Regions from separate parts of the Mus musculus genome. Here region 2 is reported to be linked to region 1. The links are microRNA targets in miRTarBase. Many come from high-throughput screens and were not tested one by one. Region 1 holds a microRNA gene; the other region holds the end of a gene's coding sequence.
The links. Region 1 holds the annotated microRNA mmu-miR-3061-3p (CUACCUUUGAUAGUCCACUGCC, at 1,858-1,879, shown strand). A microRNA usually pairs through its seed, bases 2 to 8, with sites in the 3' UTR of a target mRNA and lowers its output. Matches are read on the target gene's strand: a 7mer-m8 pairs with bases 2 to 8, a 7mer-A1 pairs with bases 2 to 7 and ends in A, and an 8mer does both.

Region 1 (5,240 bases):
CATGTGCACATAAATTATTATTTTTTTATTAAAAGGTTGCTTTGAAACAATTTATAAAGCTTACTGTTGGGTTTGAGTACTTGAAGAAGATATGTATAATGGTTTTAGTAAAACAAAAACAATGTACTATCTAAGGTTTCCAGGTGATGTTTTGAGATTTGTACATTGTGTCAAGTCGGGCTATGTATGCCTCAAGCATTTATCATAATGGTCCTTGTAGCTATTTGAAATGAAACAAAAGTGTGGTGGTGTGGTTGCCACCTGCCTGTGTAATGGCACATCTGAGCCTCTTGAAATGTTCAGTGACCATTGGGAGACGGTTTGCCTTTCTTCATTACAAATGCACAGTGTCTCCCTTTCTTGACTTACTGTTTTGTTTATGTGTGTGGTGCTAACAGAGGCCTCTAGGTCCTCTGGAGCTTCAGAGTTGTGAGCTGCTGGTGTGAGTGCTTAAAGACCAAATCCAACCTCTGGAAGAGCCGCAGTTAATTCTGTGGTATTCAATCTTGATGCCCACATATTTTACTTTGAATTATTAGGAGCATAGTATGTCTAGGGTTAAGAACACTGCTGGGTGGGGCATGGTGACTCACATCTATGATATCAGCACTTGGGAGGCAGAGGCAGGTAAATGGATCTCTGAGTTCCAGGCCAATCCAGGATACATGGTGAAGCAGTCTTTTATCTTTTTGAGACGGAGTCTCACAATGTAGCTCTGGCTGTCCTGAAACAATATAGACCAGGCTGGCCTTGAACTTCCTTCTGCCTCCCAGTTGCTGGAATTAAAGGTATATATTACCGTGCCCAGCATAATCCTGTCTTAAAAGTAAATAACCATTGTAACTACAGCTGGATTTTGTGGTACTGGTGGTATCTTCTGGGGTAACTGGCTTTTACTGTGTTCCTGGAAACAGCCAATTTTTTGTTTGTTTGTTTTTTGAGACAGGGTTTCTCTGTATAGCCCTGGCTGTCCTGGAGCTCACTTTGTAGACCAGGCTGGCCTCAAACTCAGAAATCCGCCTGTCTCTGCCTCCCGAGTGCTGGGATTGAAGGCGTGCACCACCACACCCAGCGTAACAGCCAATAATTTATAGGCTTAATTTTGAAGTGGATTTTATTCTCCTGACCTAAACCTTTTTTTTTTTCCCTATAATCTCATAATTCTTTGACTGCTTTTACATTTTATAGACTTAAATCTTTTGGGTTAATTTTTCCACAATTGTGTCTATGTTAAAAATAACCTCTGCAAGGTTGTAAATGTGTTTGACCATGCCCCTTGCCAGTCTCTATATGGTAGAACTGTAAAGATACCGTGTCATTGTGACATTTTCATACGTGTGTGTGGTATACTGTGATGCATCACCATTTTTCTCATTTCCATTCTGTACCTTGATTGTATGGATTGCTTTTGTTTTGAGACAGGATCATCTTTTGTAGCTTGGCTGATCTCTGTTCAAATCAGCCAAGCTACATAATGAGAGAAAACAAAACTTGAGAAAGAGAAAACTTGCCTCTGTCCAAGTGCTGGGATTAAAGGTGTGGGCCACCACCGTCCAGCAATCTTACTTGACAGAGTAGAACTTTTAAAGGGTTCGTTTTGCTTTCTTTCTTATTTCTGTCTTCTGGTTGAGCTTTACACGCCTTTGGGGTATATAGGTCAGTCACATGTTGGAGACTGTTCAAGGTGCAACCTTTTTAGGACGTACCTCGAAGTTGTCATGAAGTGTTGGGTTACGTTGAGGGATCTTGTACCTAGATCCCTCTTTGCTGCTTCAATGATGAGTGTACCTTGATATATTGTGTACTGTGGGGCAGTGGGCCGTGAAAGGTAGCCTGGTGGTCCCCTTTGAGCTAAGGCTACCTTTGATAGTCCACTGCCCCACGGTGCATGCATTGGTGTTTTTCGGTAGGTCTCCCTGTCCTGGAGTTTCTGTTGTGGCTATAGGATGGATGCCAAGCAGTGGGTCTTGAGCCCCATGCCCCTTTCTACTTTCTAGCCATTCCCACTTGGATCCCAGTCATTGGGTTGGGATGTTTATGTCTTTTAGTCTTTAAAAATGCTTGTCATTGTGGTGTAGTAGTGTATATGTTTTATGTAACTGTCAATAGATGCCTGACAGGAGCATCTTAGGGGAGGAGAGGTTCATTTTGGCCCAGTTTCAGGGTTATGGTCTGCCAGAGTGAGAAAGGAACAGAGGTGAGGGCTGTTTTGGCAGCAGGAGGAGTTAATTACCAAGTAATGGCTTGGGAGGAAGGAGGAGCAGAGAGAGATAGGAAGCAAAGAAGATATAAGCATCAAAGGCCTGACCCTGTGATTCAACTGCCAGCTGCCATGTCTCACTGCCTCTCAAAACACCAGTTAGGACCACCTATTGAGCCATGGACGTGGGGATAACGTCCATATGGGTGGTGGTAAGTACCATAAGGCGAGGACTGGGAACATGGCTAAGTGGCAGAGCTGCTCCTAGCATACCAAAAGGTGTCACAGGAAGATGGAAACCACCAAGATAACCTCAAAAACAAGCAGAGGAAGTGAAAAGCATCCACCATGAGACCACCAGAGACAACAGGAATGGTGGGAGCAGAAGGAAGATGGCCAGAGAGCTACAAGTGAAGATGAGAGATGGAAAGCAAAAATAAATAGAATATTCAGAGTGAAAAGAGAAATGAATTTAAGACAGCCAGTCGGAAAGGGGGTGGGGGGCATATCCTAGTGGGTTGTACTCCGGTATGAAATTCTTAGAACAATGTGCTGCAGGCAGTACTCCAGTTACTGACCAGCGTGCTACATTCCTATACTGTACTCAATAAACTGTAAACAAATATACCACCTCCTGATGTGTCGCACAGTCCCTTCTGTGGTGGTCTAACACGGGTGAGTTAACTCTTGCCAGTCTTAACGATCCCTCCTTATCCTTTGGGCTGCTGGCAAGAGTAAAAGCTAGGTAACGTTCACCCTGCTGTTGTAGCCATTTATTTGATCAGTACAAGTGGTGTAACCAGGGCTGTCCCTGTTCTCAGAGTACTGAAGTTCCTTGTGACAGGTGCCCTTAGAGAAGTGCATGTTGGGAAGGGAGATAAAGGACCAAGGGTATCATAGTAGGGCCTTGTGCTTCCATTACCCACATCTGTAGGTGGTTTTTCAAATTATCAGTGTGTCGGTGGGTTTGTTTGTGCACAGGAGTGTAGTGGCCACAGAGGTCAGAAATGGGGGGGGGGCAGAGGGGGTTCAAGACAGGGTTTCTCAGTTCCTGGCTGTCCTTGAACTCAGAAATCCCCCTGCCTCTGCCTCCCAAGTGCTGGGAATAAAGGTGCGCGCCACCACTGCCTGGCTCAGAAATAGGTGTTTTATCTCCTAGAGTCAGGCTGGAGAGATGGCTCTGGTTAAGAGGACTGTTTCCTCTTCCAGAGGTCCTGAGTTCAGTTCCCAGGAATCACAGCCACATGGTGGCTCACAACCATCTATAATGGGACCTGATATCCTCTTCTGTATGTCTGAAGACAGCTACATTGTAGTCATACATGAGATAATTTTTTTTAAGTGGGTTGAGCTGCTATGTGGGTGATGAGCCAAATTCAGCTCCTCTACAAGAGCAGCAGTTACTCTTAACTGCTCAGCCATCTCTGCAGCCCCTCCCACTGTATTCTGTGATTGTGCATGGAATTCAGGGTCTCTGTCGTCTCAGTGTGCAGCAAGAGTGAATTGACCTTGTGATCCTCATTGCTGCACTCTGCTTTTACACCAAGAAACAACAGTCTACAGCTCCCAGTGTAGCCAGATGGACGGCTGCTGCTGCTCCTGGCTGCTGCATCCTCTGCTTGTTTCGTCTCCAGTGTCTCTTTCGCTGACTCTGTGGGCTCTGTAGGCCCATGGCTGATGTACTTTTCTCACCCGTCTTCATAAGACAGTCAGTCTCTGGGTGTCTCTTCTCATGCACAGTCATGAATGTGTGTTTCCCCATCCCCAACCTCATTAAGTAGTAGTTCTCAGTCTCCAGTCTGAGCTGCTGGAAGCTGGAAGGTTGCTTTGAATCCCCATCTGTTGTTCTTTTTGGATGGTCATACCAGCTGTGCTGAGACTCACTATGTGGCAGAGGTAAGCTTTGAATTCCCATTCCTGCCTCCACCTCCAACCAGCTGGCATTATGATGCACACCACTACAACTGACCTCTCTTACATACATTGATGTACAGATAGGTGTTTGTGGTGTGTGTGTGTGTGTGTGTGTGTGTGTGTGTGTGTGTGTGTGTGTGGTATACCAACAGAGATTCACTGTGTAGCCCTGGAAATTGTTATGTAGTACAGGCTGGCCTTGAATGCACAGAGATTCAAATAGCTGTAATTAAGGCATTCACCACCATACACCCAGGCTTTTGGGGGTTGGAGGGTTGCATGAGGGAAAGGTACAATGCATTCCTGAAAGCCAGTATCGATAGAGGCCAGAAGAGGGCGTTGGATCCTCTTGGAGCTAGGGTTACAGGTAGTTGTGAGCCTCCAAGCTCTGAGCTTCTGAGAAATGAACCGGGGAAGGACCCTGTAAGAGCAGTCAGCACTCTTAGCTGCTGAGCCACCATCCTTCCAGCCTGTCTCAGAGGTTTCCTTAAAACAGAATCTTAAGGATTGTCTTTGTAGGACTTGAGTTTCCAAGTTTATCTCAGGGTAGGAGGAGGTATGCAGAACACTAGAAATCAGAAACCAGCACTTTAAAAATAGGACTGTGGGTATGTGAGGCTTTTGAAATGAGATTATTTGCTTAAGCTACCTAGAAACACTAGAACATTTCTGTCTTCGGCCTGAGTGGCAGATGGCCCTGCGTCAGAAGCACAGCATAAAGTGATTTGCCGTTTCCACCAATTGCTCAGTTTGGTGCTGGGATCCCGGGGCACAGCTGGCATAATGAACTAGCTTACATCAGTACTCCATGCAGAAGGAAGAATCCCTGAAGACGGTAAGTGAATGCAGAGGAGTCAAGAGCAGTGATACCGAAGCTGCTGCTGAGAGAGGAGTTGCATAGCCCCGAGCTTTCACTGTGCCAGACACTTTGTGTGGCATACTTTAGTTGCGAATCAGCTTGATTCAGAGCAGTGAAGGGCCTGCTACAAGAGCATTCTCAGGGAGACCTTGGCTTTCAAGCGCCCCTACCTTTGCTGGAATTATTTAGTGGGCTTTGAAGGGCAGGCACATAGCTTTCAAGTTTAGAGAAAGTGACCTGTGTTTTGTGACTGGACCTTAGGGAGAC
Region 2 (5,235 bases), not on the chromosome of region 1:
TATTCACAGCTGCTTTTTTATTTAATGTAGCTATAATCTGTCTGATTTATTTTTTAGGTGCTGAGGGTCTAAATGGCGGAGAGGAGTCCTTAAACATGAATGATGCAGATGAAGGATTTTCATCAGGGGCTTCTCTTAGCAGCCAACCACATGGGACCAAACCACCCTCCTCTTCTCAGCGGGGAAGCTTGCGGAAAGTAGCAACTGGGCGTTCCGCCAAAGACAAAGAAACAGCATTAGCCATCAAATCCAATGAGAGCCCTCGAGATTCAGTAGTTGGAAAGCAGTTTGTACAACAACAAGCAGATCTCAGCATAGATTCAGTTGAGCTGACACCGATGAAGAAACACTTGAGCCTGCCTGCAGGCCAGGTGGTGCCAAAAACCAATAGTCTGAGTCTAATCCGGACAGCCAGTGCTTCCTCAAGTAAATCTTTTGACTATGTAAATGGCGGTCAAGCAAGTACCAGCATTGGGGTTGGCACTGAGGGAGTTACTAATCTAGCAGCTACAAATGCTAATCGATATTCAACTATCAGTCTACAAGAAGACCGGCTAGGTCACGCTGGTGAAGGTAAAGAGCTCCTCAGCCCAGGAGCCCCCTTAACCAAGCAGTCTCGATCCCCAAGTTTCAATATGCAGCTAATATCCCAGGTGTAGTTCTGATGCCCCTTGTTCTGCTAACCTTCTACACTGAACATTTCATTGTGCAAGACACGTCATCCCGCATTGTGAAAAGATGTCACTGTCATCAGATTTGACTTAGCTTAGGTATCTCATACTGTATTTTGTATGGAAACAGCAATAAGGTTTTCCTTTCCTTTCTTTTAACCTCTCTACCTATTCCCTTAAATGTGTTTGTGAAGCAGTGTAAAACGTTTGCCTTTTCCATGCCTTCCTTTCTCCTTGGGTGATGTGCAATCCATCGTAGGCTGATCGGTCCCATTTCAACACTGTGAGACTGAGGAGATGTCGAGGAAATGGTGTATAAGATCCCTATGAAATGATTCTTTGGCTTTTGTTTAAAAACAAAACGGGTTTGTTCACATAATCTATGAACTATGAAGATAACTGGATCATATGTTTTCTCTCTAACCAGGAGTGCCTCAGAGATTCTGCTATGACTTTGGGCTTCTCTGAGCCTGTGCAATTTTATATTCTTGGGAAGCATGGGGGAAAGTGGTAGACTACTGCAATTTTTTTATTAAAATGAGGCTAACTGCCCCCCTTACTTTATCCCAAGGACACAAATGTTTAATTATTGAGGCATTTAAATCAATTTGTGACCACCTCCATTGGAGGGTAGGGCTCTAAGTTGATTGTGTGATTGATAATGCACTTTCTCAATGGCTCTCTAGTCATTAACAACAGGTCTTCCCTCCTCCCACAAGGACTTAAGGACATTTCTGCCCTTAAAGTTTGAACTAACAAATCAGAGACTCAAAGGGGCGTGTTCTATTTCCCAGGAATGATTGATATTATGGTGCTGGGGCTTTGTTGGGGGAAGGGTGTTGTTTGTTTAGTTTGTGTGAGATTGTAAATGAGGTGAAGTTATAATTGTTTTCTTTCTTCCTTTCCTTTGTGAGTTGGTGATGACTGAAGTAGACACTGTACGTCTTCAGGTAAAGAGAGGGATTTCTCAGTCCACTCTCTGAGATATCAGACTAGAGAAACCCTTTCAGCTGCTTCCTAGATGTACCTAGATTCAGTCAGATATGGGATACAGAAACCTAAAGTCCTGAGATCATATACTCCAAGGAAACACATCAGGGACAGGTGATTGGTTGAAAACACTGATGCTTCTATGTGACACATTTGTATAGAACATTTCTACCAGAGGGTACTGACTTGATTGCTCTACAAGGACCACACTGCCTTTGTGTTTATTGCAGTTTGTGTATCTTCTGATTATCTGCAAAGTTTCTCGTTTTTATAAAACGTTGAAATCATGCCAGTAAACTAGATGTTGAATGTAAATGAGTAGCATTTGGTAACTGCTAAGAGGCTACAAAAATGCATTATTAGTTTAAAGGATTTTTGTTGTGATTTGGTTGGATAAGACTTTCTTATAATCTCTTCTGGGTCTCAGGCTTTGTTTGAAAAAGAAGGGAATATATTAGGATTTTAAAAATCAGTATTGTGTGACTTCAATTGCTATGAATTACCCATCTCAAGAACATCAGTTACACACACCCTTGTACATGTAGACATTTTATGTATTGTGAATGAAAATTACACTGCCTATATAGGAAGCAAGTGTCCTCTTAATTGACAAAGTTGTTTTATCTCTATTTACCGTAAAATTTGATAAATTAAATAGCCAGGAAAACGCCTCTCTTTTTTTTTTCATACATAAACCACCATTTTTGGAGGAGTTGTCTATCTGTCCATCTGTCTGTCTGCATTGTGTTAGAATAATCCTTAATTAGATTTGATAGTTTATAACATTTTTCAGCTCCCAGCAAATAGGGAACTAGAACCTCAGCTATTATCCACATCATTGCCAAACTTTGGAGTAAAACTAAAAGCTGAAATGTGATCTATTGATTGTTTATAATATGCGTATGATATGTGTATCCATTTATCACAGACACATTTTAGCCCTATTTCTACTAATTTAACTAAGAGATATCAAGTAAACTTAAAAGAAAAAAGAATTGTAAAATAGTAAAATAAAATGTTTTTGTAACCTACTGAACAGAGAGGCTTTGTGGTGCATAAGGAAGGTATCAGTCTTAGATGGCAAAGCACGCCTACTTCATGCTGGAGCTCACAGGCGCACATGTAACAGACTGGCATTTAAACCAAGCATTTTAAATAAAGCACAAGAGAATACCAAATAACTTGAAAGTATAGCATAAACTGTTGTAAATATGAGAAAAAATCTTTTGATTAGAAACATCATAACTGAAGAGTTGGTTTAAGAATCAGGAATGGTGGCATACACCTTGAATCCCAGCACTCCAGAGGCAGAAGCAGGTGAATCTCTGAGTTCAAGGCTGGCCTGGTCTACAGATGGAGTTCTAGGACAGCCAGGGCTACACAGAGAAGGCCTGTCTCAGAAAAGAAAAAAAAAAAAAAAAAAAGGTTTTTTTCATCTTTTTGTTGGCATGTGTAGACTTTGTATATACATCCCAAGTAATATTTCACAATCCTGAAACATTTGCTTCATATTCTTTGGGCTATAATTTGGTCTCAATGAACAAGTTCTTCATTTACACTTTATAGCAAGGGTCTTAGAATACATTTTCTGTGTAAGATAACAGTTAAAATGAAATGAATTAAAATTAGACAAACTACCAAGTTTTCTAATGATCATTTCAACCACTTTATGTTACCATCATTGAATTTAAAATGGTTTTTGTTCAGTTATACAGCAGCTGTTAAAAATGTCATAGAAAGTTAGAAATGTCCATAATTTAACCTTTAATAACTTCCCTTTAATATTTCTCAGCTTTCATGAAGCTTCATCGCACTAGTAGAAAAAAAGCATTTAGGGGAAAATATTTGTCTTATATTGATGCCATCTGTACTAGGTTAGATTAAGGACTACAGTATCTGAAGGTTTTAGGAGTTTTTCTATATGACTTTCAGTTAGTTTTACTGGTAAGAAAGCTAAAATATAAAGTAAAAAGTTAACTTACAAGCTAGGGAGGGAAGAGTTGTCATTTAAAATCTTGGTCCTTTGCCAATGCCCCTTTTTTCGCAGCCCACTGTGCTGTGCCTGTTTGTTGCAGATCAGGTTTCTGTGCTAGAAGAGACCCTAGAGATAATTTGGCTCTTCTCTCTGCCATACACACACATTGCATCCTCAGGACACTGAGGCTCAAAGGAGGATGTGAAATAAGGCCCATGACTAAGAAGCAGGGCCATAATCAAACCTTGTCTCTAGTCACGTGCATATTGATGCCTCATTGCCTCTGGTTATCCATACTTTAGTAAATGTGATATGAAACACTTCCATTTCTGCTATTTCTTTATGTTTCTGGTCTAGTAGCTGGTGAACACATTAAGAAAAGTATTAATTCCAGAAGGAAAAAAAAAGTAAAATAATTAATACAGATGGGGATGTGTTCAAAATGTAGGTGTCTGTATAGCACATTATTCTTTTCTAATTTATGCCTTGTGAATTTTCTACCACATAACAGTTATATGCTGCCATGTTATTTGTATTTTGGGGGATTTGTTTAGATGCAAAATAAACCCAATGAAATTTCCTTGATCAGTGTTTCTAACTATTTGAAAGTGATCTTTAATCAGCCAGTTTTCAGTCATCAAAGGTACACTGTAGAAGATTGCAGAGTAAAGATAAACTCAATTCCATTCATTTTTCATCTAGAGAGAAATTGTTCCTTACTCGGCTTAGAGTAGATAAGAGCAATATTCCTCTACGTTACTGAAAAAGAAGAATAGTGAGTGTGAAACTTTGAATCCATGCACAGTGGTCTCTGGGTCATTTATCACATATAGACCAGATAAAAACAACTCAAGTGTGGTAGTCTTAGCTACATAAGCTCAGTATCTCCAGCTGGTAGTCTCGATTCCATTTAGTAGCTTTTACATTCCGTTGCATTTGTCTGCACTGCTTTTGTGAATACCTTAATGCAGTGGTGCGTTTTTCCTACCTCACTTAGGAGGCTTCTTTGGGTCCATTGTTTAGTACTTAAGTTGTTGACAATCAGTGTCTCATTTAATCCACTGTATGTTTATTTATAAATAAAAATACTAGTTTCTGTCTTTATGGGTAGGGTAACATACTGTATAAACACTGGCAAGTGGGACCACTCCATTTCTGAACTTGAATTACATTATAAAGTAAGGTTTTTCTTTTTAATTTAATGAAAAAGTTTAGTATTCCAATGACATAGTTTTTCAATTTAAAGAGATTAATATGTCATGCTAGTGGTCAGAAATTCTACAACATTAGAACGTAGAGCAACTTTTCTGCACTGTGGTTATATCAAGCATTAAAACAGGAGGCTTTTCTCTCTCAAGCAAAATGACCACTGCCGTTGCTTCACCACCAAGTTGTGAGATACTTACTATAATACTTCTAATTTCCTTAAAGTGGTTTCCAAAAATAAGTGACTGAAAACTAGCTACTGGCAGCTTAACCTCTTAAAAATAGAATATTTACCAGATTATATAAACATGGAATATAGTGTAAAAATAAAATAATGAGTCATCAGGTTAGTACAATTTTCCATGCAAAGGAGATGAGCCAAATTCTAGTATT

Region 2: miRTarBase lists Fam126b as a target of mmu-miR-3061-3p. Seed matches in the 3' UTR shown: 7mer-m8 at 4,276-4,282.

The regions. Positions count from the first base shown.
Region 1 is chr11:52,124,947-52,130,186 of GRCm38, forward strand. Mir3061 (microRNA 3061) reads left to right here and starts at 1,800; the gene lies at 1,800-1,890.
Region 2 is chr1:58,525,082-58,530,316 of GRCm38, reverse strand. Fam126b (family with sequence similarity 126, member B) reads left to right here. Exons shown (of 13, transcript NM_001310598.1): 13 at 58-5,235. The coding sequence ends at 659. The region is part of intron 2 of Gm15834 (a long non-coding RNA gene); the gene reads right to left. Among named protein-coding and RNA genes, the nearest start is that of Gm15834, 23 kb to the right of the region's middle.